Linked DNA regions of Lytechinus pictus. The protein of the gene in region 2 interacts with the protein of the main gene of each other region in a biochemical or structural test. Links are inferred from orthologs where the notes say so. Each region holds a gene or a part of one and is shown on either strand. Other genes may lie near its edges.

Evidence for each region.
Region 1: the proteins of probable global transcription activator SNF2L2 (region 2) and SWI/SNF complex subunit SMARCC2-like form a complex in vitro, tested with the Drosophila melanogaster proteins (2 studies listed by BioGRID, with this or other methods). The link is inferred for Lytechinus pictus from reciprocal best matches to the Drosophila melanogaster genes brm and mor.

Annotation. Positions count from the first base shown.
Region 1 is NC_087247.1:25,342,938-25,351,537, forward strand, and holds the start of SWI/SNF complex subunit SMARCC2-like, read right to left. Parts: upstream 5,145-8,600; 5' UTR 5,092-5,144; coding exon 4,924-5,091; intron 563-4,923; coding exon 443-562; intron 1-442.
Region 2 is NC_087255.1:22,750,588-22,759,187, reverse strand, and holds the start of probable global transcription activator SNF2L2, read right to left. Parts: upstream 4,714-8,600; 5' UTR 4,622-4,713; intron 27-4,621; 5' UTR 19-26; coding exon 1-18. Other genes in the region: Fanconi anemia group C protein-like, read left to right, coding at 6,935-7,114. UniProt on the Drosophila melanogaster protein: Transcriptional regulator. Acts as a coactivator, assisting one or more dedicated transcriptional activators of ANTC and BXC homeotic gene clusters. Can counteract the repressive effect of Polycomb protein.

The DNA.
Region 1 (8,600 bases), on a different chromosome or scaffold from region 2:
AAGTTTCATGAACTAGGTCCATATATTTTCTAAGTTATGATGACATTTCAAAAACTTAACCTTAGGTTAAGATTTTGATGTTGATTCCCCCAACATGGTCTAAGTTCATTGACCCTAAATGACCTTTGACCTTGGTCATGTGACATGAAACTCAGGCAGGATGTTCAGTAATACTTGATTAACCTTATGGCCAAGTTTCATGAACTAGGTCCATATACTTTCTAAGTTATGCTGTCATTTCAAAAACTTAACCTCAGGTTAAGATTTGGTGTTGACGCCGCCGCCGCCGTCGCCGTCGGAAAAGCGGCGCCTATAGTCTCACTCTGCTATGCAGGTGAGACAAAAATGATTGATAAGACAGAGGCACAAGATTTTTCTTATCATTATTCTTGGCAGAAAGTCAGAAATACTAAATAGGTAAAATTAGATTTGATTTACTTACAGGTACTCTGGTCAGAGGAGGGTTGCTGACATGTCTCCCAAAGGCATCTTCCTGGAACTGTATAAGCTGAGCGAGCATACTTGCAATGCTCTTATTGGTGGGAGGCTCAGCCTGGATCCACTGGAAGACAAAAAATACATTAAAACATAAAACATTTCCACCTCACCCTGAAGTTTCTTGATAACACTTTTACATTGCAAGTATGTTGTGCTAAAAACAGATTGTCTATCATAAAGTACCCCTACATGCAGTTCAAAATCTCTTTTTCAAGATTTGCCATCTTCACATAGACTTGTAATGAAACCCAATATTAACACATTATTAAACTAGCACGCTAGGTTAGGGTTGACATTTGACAGCTGAAGGAATTTTCCTTTATTTTTTTTATCCAGAGAAATCCTTTTAACAAACAAAATCCTAGAAGACAGGAAGATCCTCTATTTCAAACCGACGACCAGGTACTTTCCACTTACATTTAGAAGTTTGTACACTTACATTGTATGAACAAGTAATTTCTAAATGATTCGGCCCCTAAAGGAATCAAGAGATGATGGCTACATATTAGTTTATATGCCAAGTTTGAAGCAATCCTTGAATTGACACGAATCCCACTTAAAATATTGAAAAAATAGAGAGAGAGAGAGGTAGATCTATGGAATTTCTATAGACAAAAAGGACAAAGCCTTAGACACTAGAGGAGCAAAATGAATGAAAGACTATCTCCATTATGCGAGACAAATCTCTAATATTGGAGACTTGCTCTGGAAAAGGATAAAAGAAACATCAACAACATCATAAATTATACCTGCCATCTTATGCTTGTGGTCTAGTATTAAATTGTCAGGTCAGAGCTCTACGTTGTACTGATATACATGTAATTGCATTGGTTTGAATCCAGCTCTTGTTGGCTAGTAATTCTTTCAGTAATAAATTGATAATAGCATTTACTCCGTTGAAGAAACTAGATGCGACATTATTTGTATTATAATTATAATTATCAAGCCAGGGTGCTCCTACCCCGGACGGCTCGAAGTGGGCCGGAGCCCAGAAGGTAACCATAGGCTGCCACTGGTAACAAATGCTAACATGGGTACCTTTGAGGTTGGTGTGCCCAAAACACCAAAAATTACAGAAAAAAAAATCATGCACCCACATCAATTCTAAGGATGGAGGTCTAATGGACAGCAGAATCCTAACATCAAGGCAGTAACCTTACCCTCGAAAAAGGGGGGAAAAGGCAGTGTTCTTTCACTCGCTTTCAAAATTGCAAACAAACCTGGCTGATCGATATACCGAGGGCGCATGCGCGAATTGGCCTGCCTTTTCCCCCCTTTTCGAGGGTCTGGCTACTGCCTTGTTGTAAGGATTCTGCTGTCTGTTAGACCTTCATCCATAAAATTGAGGTGGGTGCATGATTTTTTTTTATTTTGGGTGTTTTTGGTACCCCAACCTCGATGATACCCATGTTAGTATTTGTTACCTGTGGCAGCCTATGGTTACCTTCTGGACTCCGGCCCGCAAAGCGGGCCAGAGCACTGTGGGTTAGGGTGCTCCACAAAGTAATGTATACAGTAATAACTGTAATGTGATAACATATCATGAATTATATCAATAAGATTATCTTTTTTGTTTACAAATTTGTAAACAAATTATAATTTTCTCCTATTAAAGCTGTTTCATTTACAAGATTATCTTTCCATTCAAAAAACAGATATGTCATGAATCTTTATCAATTTTGAGATTATTTGATAACATATCATACAACACAGTCAGTAGAGGCGCACGGCCAATATAGGAGACTGTCTCCTATGAGAGAGATTCTCTAAATAAAAATGTGATAAGCAGATTCCTCATGAAAAATTACCCATTTTCACCGTCTACTTTAAAAATTCACCGTCTACTTTTGTTTTGATAAGGATTTTTGTTGTCATCCACACACAAAACAAATGGGCTTCTGACCTCAGTGAGACAAAATTCTGGGTGGAAAAAATTACGCTTTTGTTGGTGTCGTTTCTTTTGTTCTTTTACAAAGCAAGTCTCCCATATTGGAGAGTCTCCCGGCATTGGCCGTGCGCCTCTACTGACAGTATGCTCCGGGAACAAGCATGTACACATAAAATATTATACATCATATTGATATGATTATGTTTCCACCTCAAAACTGTTTGCCGATCTTTATGAATCTTTTGAGACTAAATATAAGGAATGTGATTTTCTATTTACTGGTAAATAAAAATGGAAAATTTGTCTTGGTTCTTTATTTGTCATGAGAAAATTCAATATATTTACACAATGTACCTTGGCTACAAAATGCTTTGCATGTTTTCTACAGTATAATGAAACAGAATTTCCCTTAGAGATTAACTCATCTGTTCATTAAGCAGTAGAAGTGCACGGCCAATATGGAAGACTGTCTCCCATGAGAGAGATTATCTCCAATATCAGAGACTTTTGTAAAGAATTTGGGTATCCAATTTCAGAGACAGTCTCCAGTTTGGGAGACCAATTTCCTTTGTTTACATTTGCTGCAAAAGGATTACCTTGGCGGCAAATAAAAATGTGATAAGCAGATTCCTCATGAAAAATTACCCCTTTTCACCGTCTACTTTAAAAATTCACCATCTACTTTTGTTTTGATAAGGATTTTTGTTGTCATCAACACACAAAACAAATGGGCTTCTGACCTCAGCGAGACAAAATTTTTGATGGAAAAAAATATGCTTTTGTTGGTGTTGTTTCTTTTGTTCTTTTGTAAAGCAAGTTTCCAATATGGGAGATTGTCTCCCCTATTGGATAGAGTCTCCCATATTGGCCGTGCGCCTCTACTGTTAAGTTTGAAACGGAATTACAAATTTTCAGAAACAGAAAAGATCATTAAAAAAAACAGAACACTGTAACTACCATTATTATGTCTATTATTACATATTATTCCAGGGCACTCTGTCTTTTCGAAGACCATGTTACACCCTAAATTTTATTATCAATCATGTTTCCATCTCAAAATCTTCATTCATTTCTGCCGACAACTGACAAGTATACTAGTACTACTCAAGTACTATTATTACATTCGCTCCATCCAAATAATATGTCAACATCTTCTTTAGACCAAAAGCTTCAGTCTCTGTATTTTGGTTGTTCCGCTGAACTACGTTGGCTCCACTCACCATACATAGACTGAAGGGGATGGGGCCCCGTACCTACAGCCAACGTATAGTGAACTAGCGTTTTATAGATCGCGATTTAAAACTGTTTTTTAAGCAAAATTGAAAGTTTCATGGTTTCCATTATCAGGGAAATATAAAAAACTTAAGTAATTGCATACCTTGGGCCGGAGTTATTGAAAAAAATCCTCTGGATGATTGAGAAATCTGTCATCTAAGACATTTTCACCTGACCTGACGGTTTTTCTTGCAAGTTGCCATCTTGAATGACGTCATTATCGTTATTAACTTAATGTCTCGAATCGATATATCGCGATTATAACTAGTACTAGTACTAGTATAAGTAGTATCGTTTATCTTCGGTTTCGTTCGCATATGGAGCAGATCGTATAATATCGAAAGCAATATCGATATCACATTCGTGATTGTTGACGTTCGTTTGTAAATATTTTATAGTGTGGCTGCCATTTTGACCATTTTTATCGTGTTCAACCCAATTAAACATCGGTAAAGTATATTTTTCATGCCTTTTTCATCTATATCGTTTAAAGTATTTAAACATTTAAATATCAACTTTTAAAAGTTTGTTGTTTATACATCCTTAGATTGTAAATTCGATGTGTAAAATTACATCAAACTTTGGACTGTGAATTGACAAAAGGGAGGGAATGAGAACACATGCGAGCCCACACGTACACCCTACCGTCGGTAAATGGGGATTACAGTAAAATGTCAGAAATTGTTGAATAAATCCCCAGAAACGACGGTTATTCCTGTCTACATCTTCTTGTGCACACAGCTGCCAACAAATTCCCTTTTTTTTTTTTATCAATGTCAGATCTATTCTAGCCTGTTAACAGAAAATTAACAATATCTTTTTTTGCTGATTCAATTTTGATTGTTTGAAATTGAATCACTGACTTGTGACTTTGTCTTTGTGTTGAATTTGAACTGCGGAATCTAACTATATTTTTCACATTAAATAAAAGACAGAGACACAACATAGGAATAGATGAGAGAATGAATTACAATTCCTCTTGATACATTTAGCTGAAAATGACCGCAAATGTCAGCTATGTTGGAAAACTCGCCATAAAATAAAGACTCGGTCTCGGGTTCAGCTTAGCCTTACTAGGGCTCCAGGCAAGCCCAGGCACAGGCCTTGGCTCCGGGGCGCTGCCGCCATGGCCGCGGCGCGGCGAAGCAAGTAGAATTCGCAGCCGCACACGAATTATCTCAGACTCGGAAAAGGTACGGTAGTTTGATCGAGCATTATATTGACTGTAATATGACAATTTCTGGCCCCTAAACAATACTCACCCTCTTGCAATTTCTTTGAAGCCATGATTTCACATTATCAAGCTGGGAAGCAATGTCAGCGGACTCAAAAAACTTGAAATCAGCACCACCGTCCTTCTTTCGGATAGCCATCTTTTGTCTTTCTCGTCTTTTGTACACCCGCAATAATTGAACGAAACTGTCGTTCATTTTTGAGCGGCATGGAGCTGGTGGTCAAGTTTTGCGTTGCCAATTTTATTACTAACAGGTATTTTAAAATGATTGCTGCTCGCATGCCAGTAAATCAAAAAAGTAAAATAACAAAGGATAGCCTTATTCTTAATTGTAACAGAGAAAAATTTATTACATTCAAACATGACAAATCTTCAATGTAGATCTTCATAAAAGTTGAGGAACTCGGTAGGCCTATAGCAAGAAAAATGTGGAGCAGATCGGCCCCGAGATCGGCCTACTGAAAAGACAATTGTCAGCATAGGCGGATCCAGGGGGGGGGGGGGGGCCCAAGGGGCCCGGCCCCCCCCCTATTGGCGGAGCAAAAAAAAAGGAAAGAAAGAAAAAACAGGGGGAAAAGGAGGGAAAAGAGGAGAAAAAGAAGAGGATTAAGATGAGTTGATAAAATAAGATGAGGGGAAGACTTAATTGGAAAAAGCTTTCATGTCACTCATGGTATAAAAATTTCGCTCGCGCTTCGCGCTCGCATTGCCTGTTAGGTGATTTTCATATCTTGTTCAATATGAAGTTTAAAAATCAAGTTTGGAAGTCAATATACAAAACATATTTCACCTCGGAAATCGAACTTTCATTATTTTGTGTGATTTACAAATTGTTTTTAAAAAGTGCTTTGTAAAGATGTCAGTTTTATGGTCTAAAATATTAACATTTTCTGCTCGTGCTGCGCGCTCGCAAATTTTGATTTATCAGGTACCTATTATTTTTGTGTATTCCATTAAATTTTCAAAATATTCTTTTCAGGTCTGAAAGTCAAAACGTATCAGCTAGCGCTGCACGCTCGCATTTTGATCGGCGAGTTATGTATATGTCGCAATATTGATTATACAACAAACTATACTTTAAATCCCCTTTTCATGACAGTTCATCAAAAACTTTGGCTCGCGATTTGTGCTCGCATTAATGGTTAAAATATATTAACTTGATGCATCTTATTTATAATTACACAAGTGCTTGAAATGTCCAGTTTTCAGGCCATAATATCATCAGATTTTGCGTCCTCAGGCGTTAATGAATAAGACATTAATTTAATGATTAAATTGTCCATTTTGTTTCATCTCGCACTTAGCAAGAGGAATAGGAAGACAGTTATCATTTTGATATGCATTTCCTAAGGATGTCCCGGTCCTATGTTAAAACTCAAAGTAATAATAATTAAAATATCAGCTCTTTATTAAGTGCGATCCATATCCACCTCACAATTTTCCTACAAAGTGCTTGAAATATAGAGCTGAAATTGACTGTTTTTTCAGATCGGAATATTAAATAGTTTAAACTCGCGCTTCGCGCTCGCTTTGATTTTCATAATAAAAGATGTATTAAGAATGCCTAGATTCAATATCTAAATATGAAACACGCGCGCGTATTCAGATAGTCAACTTGTTCTCTATTTAAATCATTATCCAGTTTCAGATCACCGTAAATATCAAAAATTTTCTGCTCACGCTTTGTGCTCGCATTATTAATGTAGGTAGACCCCTACTCATTCTTTCATGATTTACAAAACATGAATAGTGTCCCGTTTGTAGGTCTAAATCTCGATTTTTCCGCACGCGCTTCGCGTTCACATCAATTGTTTAATTATAATCCTGTTCACGATTACAAAAATTGATTAAAATGTTACATTCTTTATGTAGAAAAGTAAAAAATTTTCAGCTCGCGCTTCGCTCTCGCATTATTTGATTGTTGAAATATGTAACGTCTTCATGCCTAAGTGCAAGCAGTCCTTAACAGGTACATTTTCGATCTGTTCAAAACGTATATAAAAAAATTCTGCTCGCGCTCTGCGCTCGCATTATTAATGTAAGGAAGATCCCCACTTGCATCCTTTTCATGATTTACAAAACCTGAATAGAGTGTCATGTTCAGTAGGTTTAAATCTCGAATTTTTCCGCTCGCGCTTCGCGTTCGCATCATTATTGTTTACTTATATACCTATTCTGTTTAAGTTACAAAAAGTGCTTCCATTTCTTAGGTAAATTTGTCATAAAATTTCAGCTTGCGCTTCGCGCTCGCATTATTTGATTTTTAAAATATGTAGCGTCTTCATGGCTAACTGCAATATTTAACAATACCTTTTCCATCAGTTCGTTTCTGCTCGCGCTTCACGGTCGTAGTAATTTTTCATTTGCATACACATCTTTTTCAGGATAACAAACATTGCCCAGAATGTTCAAGAACTTAGAAAAAAAACCCACAATATTTCCCCCAAAAAATAGCTCGCGCTTCGCGCTCGCATTGTATAAATAAGGATTATGGTATTATATATTTATGTTTATTCATAAGAATAAAGCTAAGAAGTGACTATTAGGACTACCCCTTCAAAGAAACAAAAAAATCCCGGCAAAAATCATCTTCGAGCGGCCGATCGGGGAAAATATTGCTGGAAAAAATCCGGCCCCCCCCCCTATTGGCGAAGGCTGGATCCGTCTCTGGTCAGGTTATGTTCCCCAATGTGCCAAGCCTCTAGCACTAGTAATCTAGTATATTCAAATTCTCATTAAAACATAAACTATAACCCCCTTTACAAAAATTGAAACTCAGTTGTACATAAAAATAAACACACGTACGGAACACGGCGCAATTGTGAGAGCCAGCATAGAGACCATTATGTCTATATAGTGAAGGCTCTCATATCATGGACCTATAGGTCCATGCTCATATCAAACTCCAGCAGGGGCCAGTAGGCCTATATTCAGATGTTCGAGAAGATTCATACAAGGATGTTTAGCCAAGGCAAAGTGATATGAATTATGAATTAACTTATCCGGGGGACTTATAAAAGGGATGGCCCGGGCTGAAATATTTATATCTTAATACATAGAGTAGAATTCACTGAGCAAAATGCCGAAAATTCCATCAAAAACGGATCACAAATAATAAAGTTATTGAAGTTTAAAGTTTACCAATATTTTGTGAAAATAGTCGTCATGAATATTCATTAGGTGGGCCGATGATGTCCCACTTTCTTATGTTATTACATAAAATCATAATTTTTTCATTATTTCATACTTGTGTGAATAACTTCTCCTTATAATGAAATAAGTTTCATCAATAAATATTTTATGCACTAAGTCAGTTGTCAATCCAATTTTTCTAGTTCTTGGAGGAAAAAAATTGAATAAACCTAATTTCATATAATAAAATACAAAAGAACAAGTTGGGATGTGACATCATCAGCCCACCTAATGAATATTCATGACGACTGTTTTCACAAAATATTGCTAAACTTTAAAATTCAATAACTTTGTTATTTGTTATCCGATTTTGATGAAATTTTCGGCATTTTGCTAAGTGATCTTCTACTCTATTTATTAAGTTATAACCACTTTCAGCCCAGACCATCCCTTTAAGTACGAAATCTAAAATAGTTGTGAAATATAGGGAGGATCAGCAAGCCATGCACGAAGCCAAAAGATAAAAAACAGCAATAAAATTTGAAATGAATGGTGAAATCAAGATAGGGCCTA
Region 2 (8,600 bases):
CATTGGGTCATCAGCCATTGCTCAGCCTAAACGATGGGTAATGAAACGGTATTAATGAATTACAAATCTGAACAAAGGTTTACGTGGGGTTTCCTATGTAAAAGTTTGATAAACAATAAAGGTTGTGTCTTCAATTTATACCCATATTTAATGGCATAAGCGTCATTGGAAACTGGAAGTACAGAAACATTTAGGCCTACAGTCCAAATTGAGATTAACACTTGGCTCATTAGTGTTCTCTTTGTAGCAGTCTTGATCACTGTAAAAATGCAGATAAAAAATTATAGTATTTCCAAAGATTTGAGTGCAAGAAAAGGAAAAAAAGTGATGTTGAAAAAAACATATCAAAATTATTGATAGTAATAATCAAAATCGGGATTTGCACAACAGATTCTCACCAACCAAGCAATTATTTTGGGGTTTAGAGCGCGATTTAAATAGCCGAGTTTGATCATAGTGCAAAACTTTATAGTCCGATATTTGGGGAAAAAAACAAGCTTCTGGTAGTAAGTAAATACTTTTCATTTACTAATACTATATATTTTTTGTAATCTTTTTTATGACATTGATATTCAAAATTTTAACTAAAATAATAGACTTTTAAGTTTTACTTGATTTAATGATTTTATTTTGGGGGGGGTCCAATAATGTTTACCGGTAAGTGTCCTATACATGCATGGCAAGGTCCCCTAAGTCTGTGCAGTCCCCCTTGTCTGCACACGCACGTATCTGCACGATTCTAGTAAAAAAAAGATACGCACTGACCACAAAATTTACACTTGCAATGCATACACAGATATTCATTAAAAAATCTGACTCAAAATGGTGAAAAATTCTGAATTTCAGGCATTTCAGCCTTTCACATCAAAATCCCAGAATCGTACATGCGTAAAGTGAATGGGTGCGCGGACATGGGGTACCACGACTACCACCATTTCGTTCAATCTGAAAATGACTGGATGAGGTTCTTTTGAAGAAAATTGTATATTTCTCCCAAATTTTTATGAGATTTTTTGCACTTACTCATAAGAATATAAAGGAACATTATCAACTGGAAAAAAAAATTCAGGTTTAGTTTTAAGTTACATGTAAATTTTTAGGGGGAAGACATGGCCCCCCCCCCCCAATACTTTACATGATGATTTTTTTTTCATTATTAATTCATTTTTCTAAATGTCTTAATTAATATGTTTTGCCAGTGTGAAAAATTGAGCGAATTAGGTATTTGTTTACTGAATGTTGTACTGCATGGTACATGTAAGGGCCCATAGCATAAAACATTTACAAAAAGCGTTGTCAAAGTAAATTTGTGCAGGATTTTTAGGCCATGTTTAAACTTGCGCTTGAGCAAGTGGAATCAAATATATCAATCTTCATGATCTTGATACTTCTTTTTCATCAAATTTTATTGGTTGTAACTAGATCTCATGTTAGATTAATATATTTGTTTCTTGATTATAAATTTTTCATCCAATTCAAAATTCAAATCACTCACTTGCAACTGGCACCAAATAATACCATCAATATTCACACAGAATTAATTAAAAAACAAAACTTTTACATGACAATTGCTACCTCAAGTGATGTTTGTGTAAGCTCCACTCCACTTCACTACCGCTACACTACGGCTACGCTACACCTACCCGAATATCAAGGTACATATACAAAACTCGCTCTGCTAAGGTGTCACTTTATGGGGGGAATATCAAACTCATGCAACAAAATGACCTTACAATTCATTTATAACAACTCATCTTACATGTACCACGGTACATTTCACAAAGTTTCATTTCTTTTTCATGCTTCTATCAGTTTCAAATTGGTGATTTAGAGCCAGTATCGGTTTCCTCACACATATTAATTCACTGCCGATTCCAACATCTCAAACGCAAATTGTGCATGCGCAGAAATCACAGCTCAATTCATGAATATTCATGAGTAGGACTATAGATCAAGATCTGATCATGCAAATGCGCATGCGTGCGTTCGGAACTTGTCGCTCGCATAGATTGGCCAGGATATCGATAATTCTAATGGGAAAGCCTTCATGAAAGCCTAACTCAACGAACGTATGTCAGGGCAGCAACAAATGGCTGCCAGTTTTTCCTCTCCGGCAGAAAAATTCAAAAAATAAGGAACAAATCATCGGTAACATATATTTTTGAAATTTTATTTGAAAATGCATTGTATCAAAAGAAAGATTAGAGTCTAAAGAAAATAGTGGACCATCGTTCAAGATAATATAATGTCATTTAGACCTAAAAAAAAAAAATCTTGACAAAACACTCTACTATACTTGAGGTAGCTGCTGGGCATCATTTTTAATGCCCATTTATAACATTTATTTAATGTTAGACCTAAATATGATGGTGGTCCCCAAGTCTGGGCACCTAACGATTTGAGTTAAGATTTAACATGAATTTCTTTTTATTTCACAAAATCTTTCAATTAATAATGTTCCTCACATCATTATGATTTAGTGTGCCAAATATCTCATAAAAATTTGAAAGAAATATATGATTTTCTTAGAAAAAAAAACTGGGGCAGTAATTTTCAGATTGAACAAAAAATGGTGCCCCATGTCTGCGCACCAATCACTTTGCACGCGATTCTGGGATTTGATGAGAAAGGCTGCATTTTGAGGCCGTCGCAAGAAATGCTCAAATTTCATTATTTTTCCACCATTGTGAGTCTGGTTTTGTAAAATAATTTCTGTCTATGCATTAGATGTGTGTGTTCGTTGCGTATCTTCTTTTACTAGAATCGTGCAGATACGCGTATGAACAGACAAAGGGGACTGCGCATACTTTATAGGGGAACTTGCCATACATGTACCAATTTTGCCTGTTAATTATGTCTGCCAAACTAGCGTACCATGCCACAATTCATAATGCACCGGGCTAAAACTGAAAATTTACACACAACTAGGGTGACCAGACGTCCTGTATTTCCCGGGAACATCCCATATTTTGCTCCTTTGTCCCGGCAAACCCTTCCCCGGACGCCTATTTGTCCCGTACTTCAGAATATTGAACAAAATATAGTTAATACATTTAATAATAATAACATTTCATCAAACAGATGACGAAGCAGAGACGACAATAAAATCGATAACTAAACTTTTGCAAGTTCTGCGGTGATTTTCTTGCTAACCCAATACATGCACAAACGAACTGGCCTCCTGCCTGTGTGTGGCTGGCTACTAGCTAGGCATGTAGGATCGGAGCAGATTCTCAATGGTGCAAACAATGACATGATAAACAGTTTTCCACCAAAATAATCACAAAATCAGCGGGAAATTTGTATAATTATATTATGGATTCTCAGATTGCTGATTTGGATATGTAATCGGAGGGAACAAGCTATTGAGTTTTCATAACTAGATCCAGCTGTTTCAGCTTTTGTTTTGAGTCTTGTTGCGTACATGTATGATGCGGCGATGTTTCATCTAATTTTTAAGTTGACAATGTTTCACTTTGAAATTTTATTCATTTCTAAAACATTTTAGTTTTCTAAAATTTTAAAAATATGTTAAAAAAAAAAACCAAATATCATTATGATTTTTGTTAGATGATTGGATTGTTTTTGTTCACTTGAAGTTTGAACTTTTTCCTCTTTCTTTCCTATCCTTCTTTTTTCATCCTTCTATCCTTCCTGCTTACCCTTTTTTGTTCCATCTATCTTTAATTTCCTATCTTTCTTTTCTGATCCTTTCTCTCTCTGTTCATTTTTCTTTCTTTCCTTTTTTTCTCTTACCTGCCTTCTTTAATTTCTTTTATTTCCTCTATTCTTTCTTTCCTTAAACTTTTCTTTGCTTCCTTCTCCCTTCTCCTTTTTTCTTTTCGTTCTTTCTCTCCTTCCATTATTTTCTTTTTTTCATTCTCTCCTCCCTCTTTTTCCTCCTTTCTTTCATTCTTTATTCTATTTTTCCTTCTAATTCTTTCTTTCTTTCCCTCCCTTCATTCCTGTTTTCTTCTTTCTTTATTTTTTTCTTTCAAATGAAGGAAACATTTTTCTTTCCTTCATTCTTTCTTTCTTCCTCCATTTTTCTTTCTTTCTTCCTCCATTTTTCTTACTTTTTTCTCTCCTTCTTTCACATTTAACTATTCATCTTCCCTTCCTTTCTTTTTCTTTCTTTCCATATTCAATTCAAAGTATGACGGAAACCTTATTTCTCTCTTATTCTTTCTTAGTTTCATCCTTCTTTATTCTAACTTTGTTTTATTCTTTTTTAAGTTTTTCCTTCATTTTTTCTTCCTTTCTTTTCAAGCCATTTCATCTCTTTTCTTTCATCTTTTCATTCTCTCCTTCATTCTTTCGTTCACCCTCCCAATTCTTTATATTTTTTTCACAAGTCTAACAATAACACTGTGTAGCCTTCTTTGTAATTCACAAAATCATGTCATTCAATCACACACAATTTGCCAATGCACAAGCCAAGCCAAGCTCTCGATCGGTTCCTCGTCATACAAAATTACACGACTCTTGCTTGGCCTGGACCATTTTCGAACAAGCACCACGAAAGATCCTTGTACAGTACATCCACAACATGTCTTAATTTGAATTCAAGAATAAACATAGGTATTTATCAGGTGATTTAGATATGAACAAACTCTCTTACCGATTAAAATCGACTTTTAGCTTTCGGCGACCCACTTTTATCGCACACAATACTCCGCAACAAGCCTTTTGTTCAGTGAATTTCGGAAAACTGAAGAAGCGCAGCATACATAGCATGCAGCGCATTTCGGTCGGTAATTTCCGGAAATAATCGGAATTGGTGTGATTTTCTTGCCCATCTGATGATCTGAAGAAAAAGATAAAATCCAAGATGGGGCACTGTCATTACAAGATAGACACCTCTCTCTTAGGTGATCCCTCTACTGTTTTGGAGATTCCCAGAACCAATAGAACAATCCAAATCCTGTAAGTTAGAGATTTAGCATCAAATTGGATGGAGGTCATGGAGCGGTAGTCATGAATTTTATGGAGAAAAAAAGAGAGATTTGAGGAGAAGACGATTTGTGAGTCATGCATATTTTGCCAAGTGCCAAGTGCTCCCAAACCAAAATACTTCAAATTAATTTATCTTACACAAAATTACATACATTTATAATCAGGGGCCGTGGAAGTGGGGGGGGGGGGGGTGCTGGGGGCTTCAGTATCGATAGGCGGCACGGTAGGCAATGATCTAGGCATCCTACTTTACTACCACAATAGTCTGTACTAGTAATTAGTTAATTACAGACTGCTTCTGACGAAGTCTTCATAAAGACGAAAGCTAAAGCTAAGAATGGTTTCCTGCGTCATCTTTTGAGTTGTCCTCATTTCATTATGTTTCATATACTCACACCTCAAGAGCGTTTGGTACAAGTAGTCATCACATTATATATAGGCCTGTGTATGTGTGTGTGGGTGAGTTTGTTTGTTTTGTGTGATCAAGCGCCTTTGGAACGTCAGTGATTCATGATTTTGCCCCCCCCCCCCCAATCTGAAAAATGGACCGACGCCCCTGCTGCAAACCATCTTCTACTTTGTTTGGCGAGTTAAAGATAATTAATGTGGCTAAAAAAATCCAGATCTGACAAAGGTAAAGGCATACTCCATGCTGAAAATATTCATATCTCAATAAATAGAGTAAAATTCACAGAGCAAAATGCTGAAAATTAAATAAAAATCGGATAACAAATAAACAAATTGAATTTTAAAGATTTGCATTATTCCGCGGTGAAACAGTTTTAGGCATGTCTTTATGAATATTCATGAAGTTTGTCATATCCGCACTTCTTTTGTATTTATTATTTGAAATAAGGTTACTAGTAATTTATTTTAAAATTTTCTACCAAGAACTAAATTAGTTCTTTTTGGATTGACACGATTATTAAGTGCATTAATTATACATTGCTGCAACCTATTTTGCTATAATGGAGACACATCATTTACACATGTGTGAAAAAATGAAACAATTATGATTTCATGTAATAACATAAGAAAAGGGAGAGTGGGCGAAGTGACATCATCAGCCCACCTAATGAATATTCAGGATGACGTGCATACTATTTTCACAAAATATTGCTAAATTTTAAATTTCAATAACTTTGTTATTTGTTATCCGATTTGATGAAATTTTCAGCATTTTGCTCTGTGAATTTTACTCTATTTATTTAGATATAAATATTTCAGCCCGGATATCCCTTTAAATACGACTTATTATTTATTCTCTTTTTTTTCTCTATATTTTTCAATTTTCCTTTTTTTCACTACTTGAAAATTATAGAGCCCCCCCCCCCCCCTTCCCCGATGCTTAAACCCCTCTTATTATCTTCATTTTTATTATTATCTTCATCGTGGGTGGGGAAACCGTGGGGTGTGTTTATACGAGAGCTGTATTAAAATCTTCAAATCGACATGCCAGGGGCAAACAAGTTTTATAGGTAAAACTTTACGCCCACAACAAGGTATGTTCTGCCCACTGAACTGGGAATACGTATTTCCAGTTCAGTGGTTATGCCACTGCATGACAATTAGAAAAAAAAATTAAGCGATAACTTCAGCTGGTATGACTTCTATTTCGCTTTCCAGTCGCTTTAATATGTACTTGCTCATATATTTGTCATTAAAATGCTGCAAAACAGAAATAATATAATAAATTATTTGTAATATTATAATCAGTTTATTCTTTAAGGACAACGATATTATTTATGTACCACTAAAGAAAATTAAAGTGATGGTCTCGGGGATCAGACTATCTTGTTTGTATTATATTCACGCAATAATTCCTTGAAGCTATCCTACAGGTCTGCGATAAGACTGTGCTCCTTTCTTTATTTACATTTTGTAGACGTACAAATTCATTGGTGCCCTTCATGTTATACAAATCGAAAAACTACAATCTTTCACGTGGAAATGTTGACAAACCCCATCGCTTTCAGATATGGAAATGTCAACAAATGACAAGCTTTCTAATGATAATGTTATATATTGGTTGAAAAGAGCAGAAGAATGGGTTTCAATGAAACAGAATCATCGAAGATCAACGCCAGCGCGGGAAATATCGCAAAGCAGTGAACAACTTCAAACCTTTCTCTCGGCGGTGCTCAACCGATTGATCGCAGTGAGTATTGGGAGGGAGGGATGCACAGGGATGCATGCATGTCTCGGATGTCTTGGGCTTGAGTGATGCAACTGCAAGTAACATAGCTGCCACGCCCACTCCCCACTCAAATGGCCATGGCCTGGGCATGGCGAAGTGACTATACGAGTCAAGTCAGGCAATGACAATTCAATTGCAATGCATTGCCATATAATTGCATGTATTTAATTAAGCCATAAATGATAAGAAAATGAATTTATCAAATACGTGAATCTATATTATAACTTGAAAATTTTTATTCTTGTGCGATTTCAAAGTTTTTATTTAACTGACTAGGGCCTACAATAGCTTCTCACCTGAATTATGTCTGTCAATGTTTTTCATTTTATTTCTTTATTACTTGAATCAAGTATTAAACTATTCATTTATTTTTTTGGCCTTATCGTGAAATTTGTCACCTCTCTTCTTGTGTGTGTCGGTGTGTGTGCGCTCGTTGTGTACAAAGTCAATGGGAGTGGAAAGATGTCACCCCCGCTGACGAAATAAACGGCAGTGAATGGACTGGTGACATAAACCACGATAATGCCATTTTTTTTTTATAGTAGTAGACAGTAACTCAGTAATAATTCAATATTTGGACAGGATATTTTCAATGAAATTCTACAATCATTCATGCAAGTTTTGGATGGTTTGACCTTTGGAGACTATATGCTTAAGTGTGCTGAGTCTGACTCTTGAATTCTTCAATAAGTAATAATAATCTGAAGATTTAAAGGGAAAGTTCACCCTGAAGAAAAGTTTGTCGTAAAACTAACAAAAAGAATAATAAAATATATTGGTGAAGGTTTGAGGAAAATCTGTAAAAGATTATAAAGAAAGTTATTAGAATTTAAAATTTTTGATTTGTGATGTCATAACCGAGTAGCTGCCCCATATGTTATTGTATAGAAATGCATAAATTTCCTCTCTCTTTTTAAATGGTTCCTGATGACTCATTTTTGTTTTCTATTCATGATCAGGTGTGAAATGATTTGTCTATTGATATAAAAAGGTACAGTAAAAACCATTCCAAATTTTCTGAGAAAATGACATTTCATTGATTTTTACCATTCGCTATGTAGGAATGGTGCTCGCCTATGACGTAAAAAAATCAATGAATTGAAATTCTAATAACTTTTTAATTCTTCAAATGATGGATTTTTTTTTCAAACCTTTGGCAATATAATTTTTTTTTCCTGCTATTTTTACAATAAACTTTTGTCAGGGATGAACTTCCCCTTTAACTGATATATAGTATATGAAGTATATGAAATGAAATTTTAGTTCAGTTTTAATATTAATAAGTAAACAAAAAAATTGATGAAATGTCAGTAGACACATTGGACCTATAGCTATCTCCAATCTAGCACTGAAAATCTGCCTAGAACAAAATCTCAGCTCAGTCTGCCTCAAAACAATGTCAATAACATGTTGGCTGCTGAAATGGTATCCAGACCAACAACTGTTA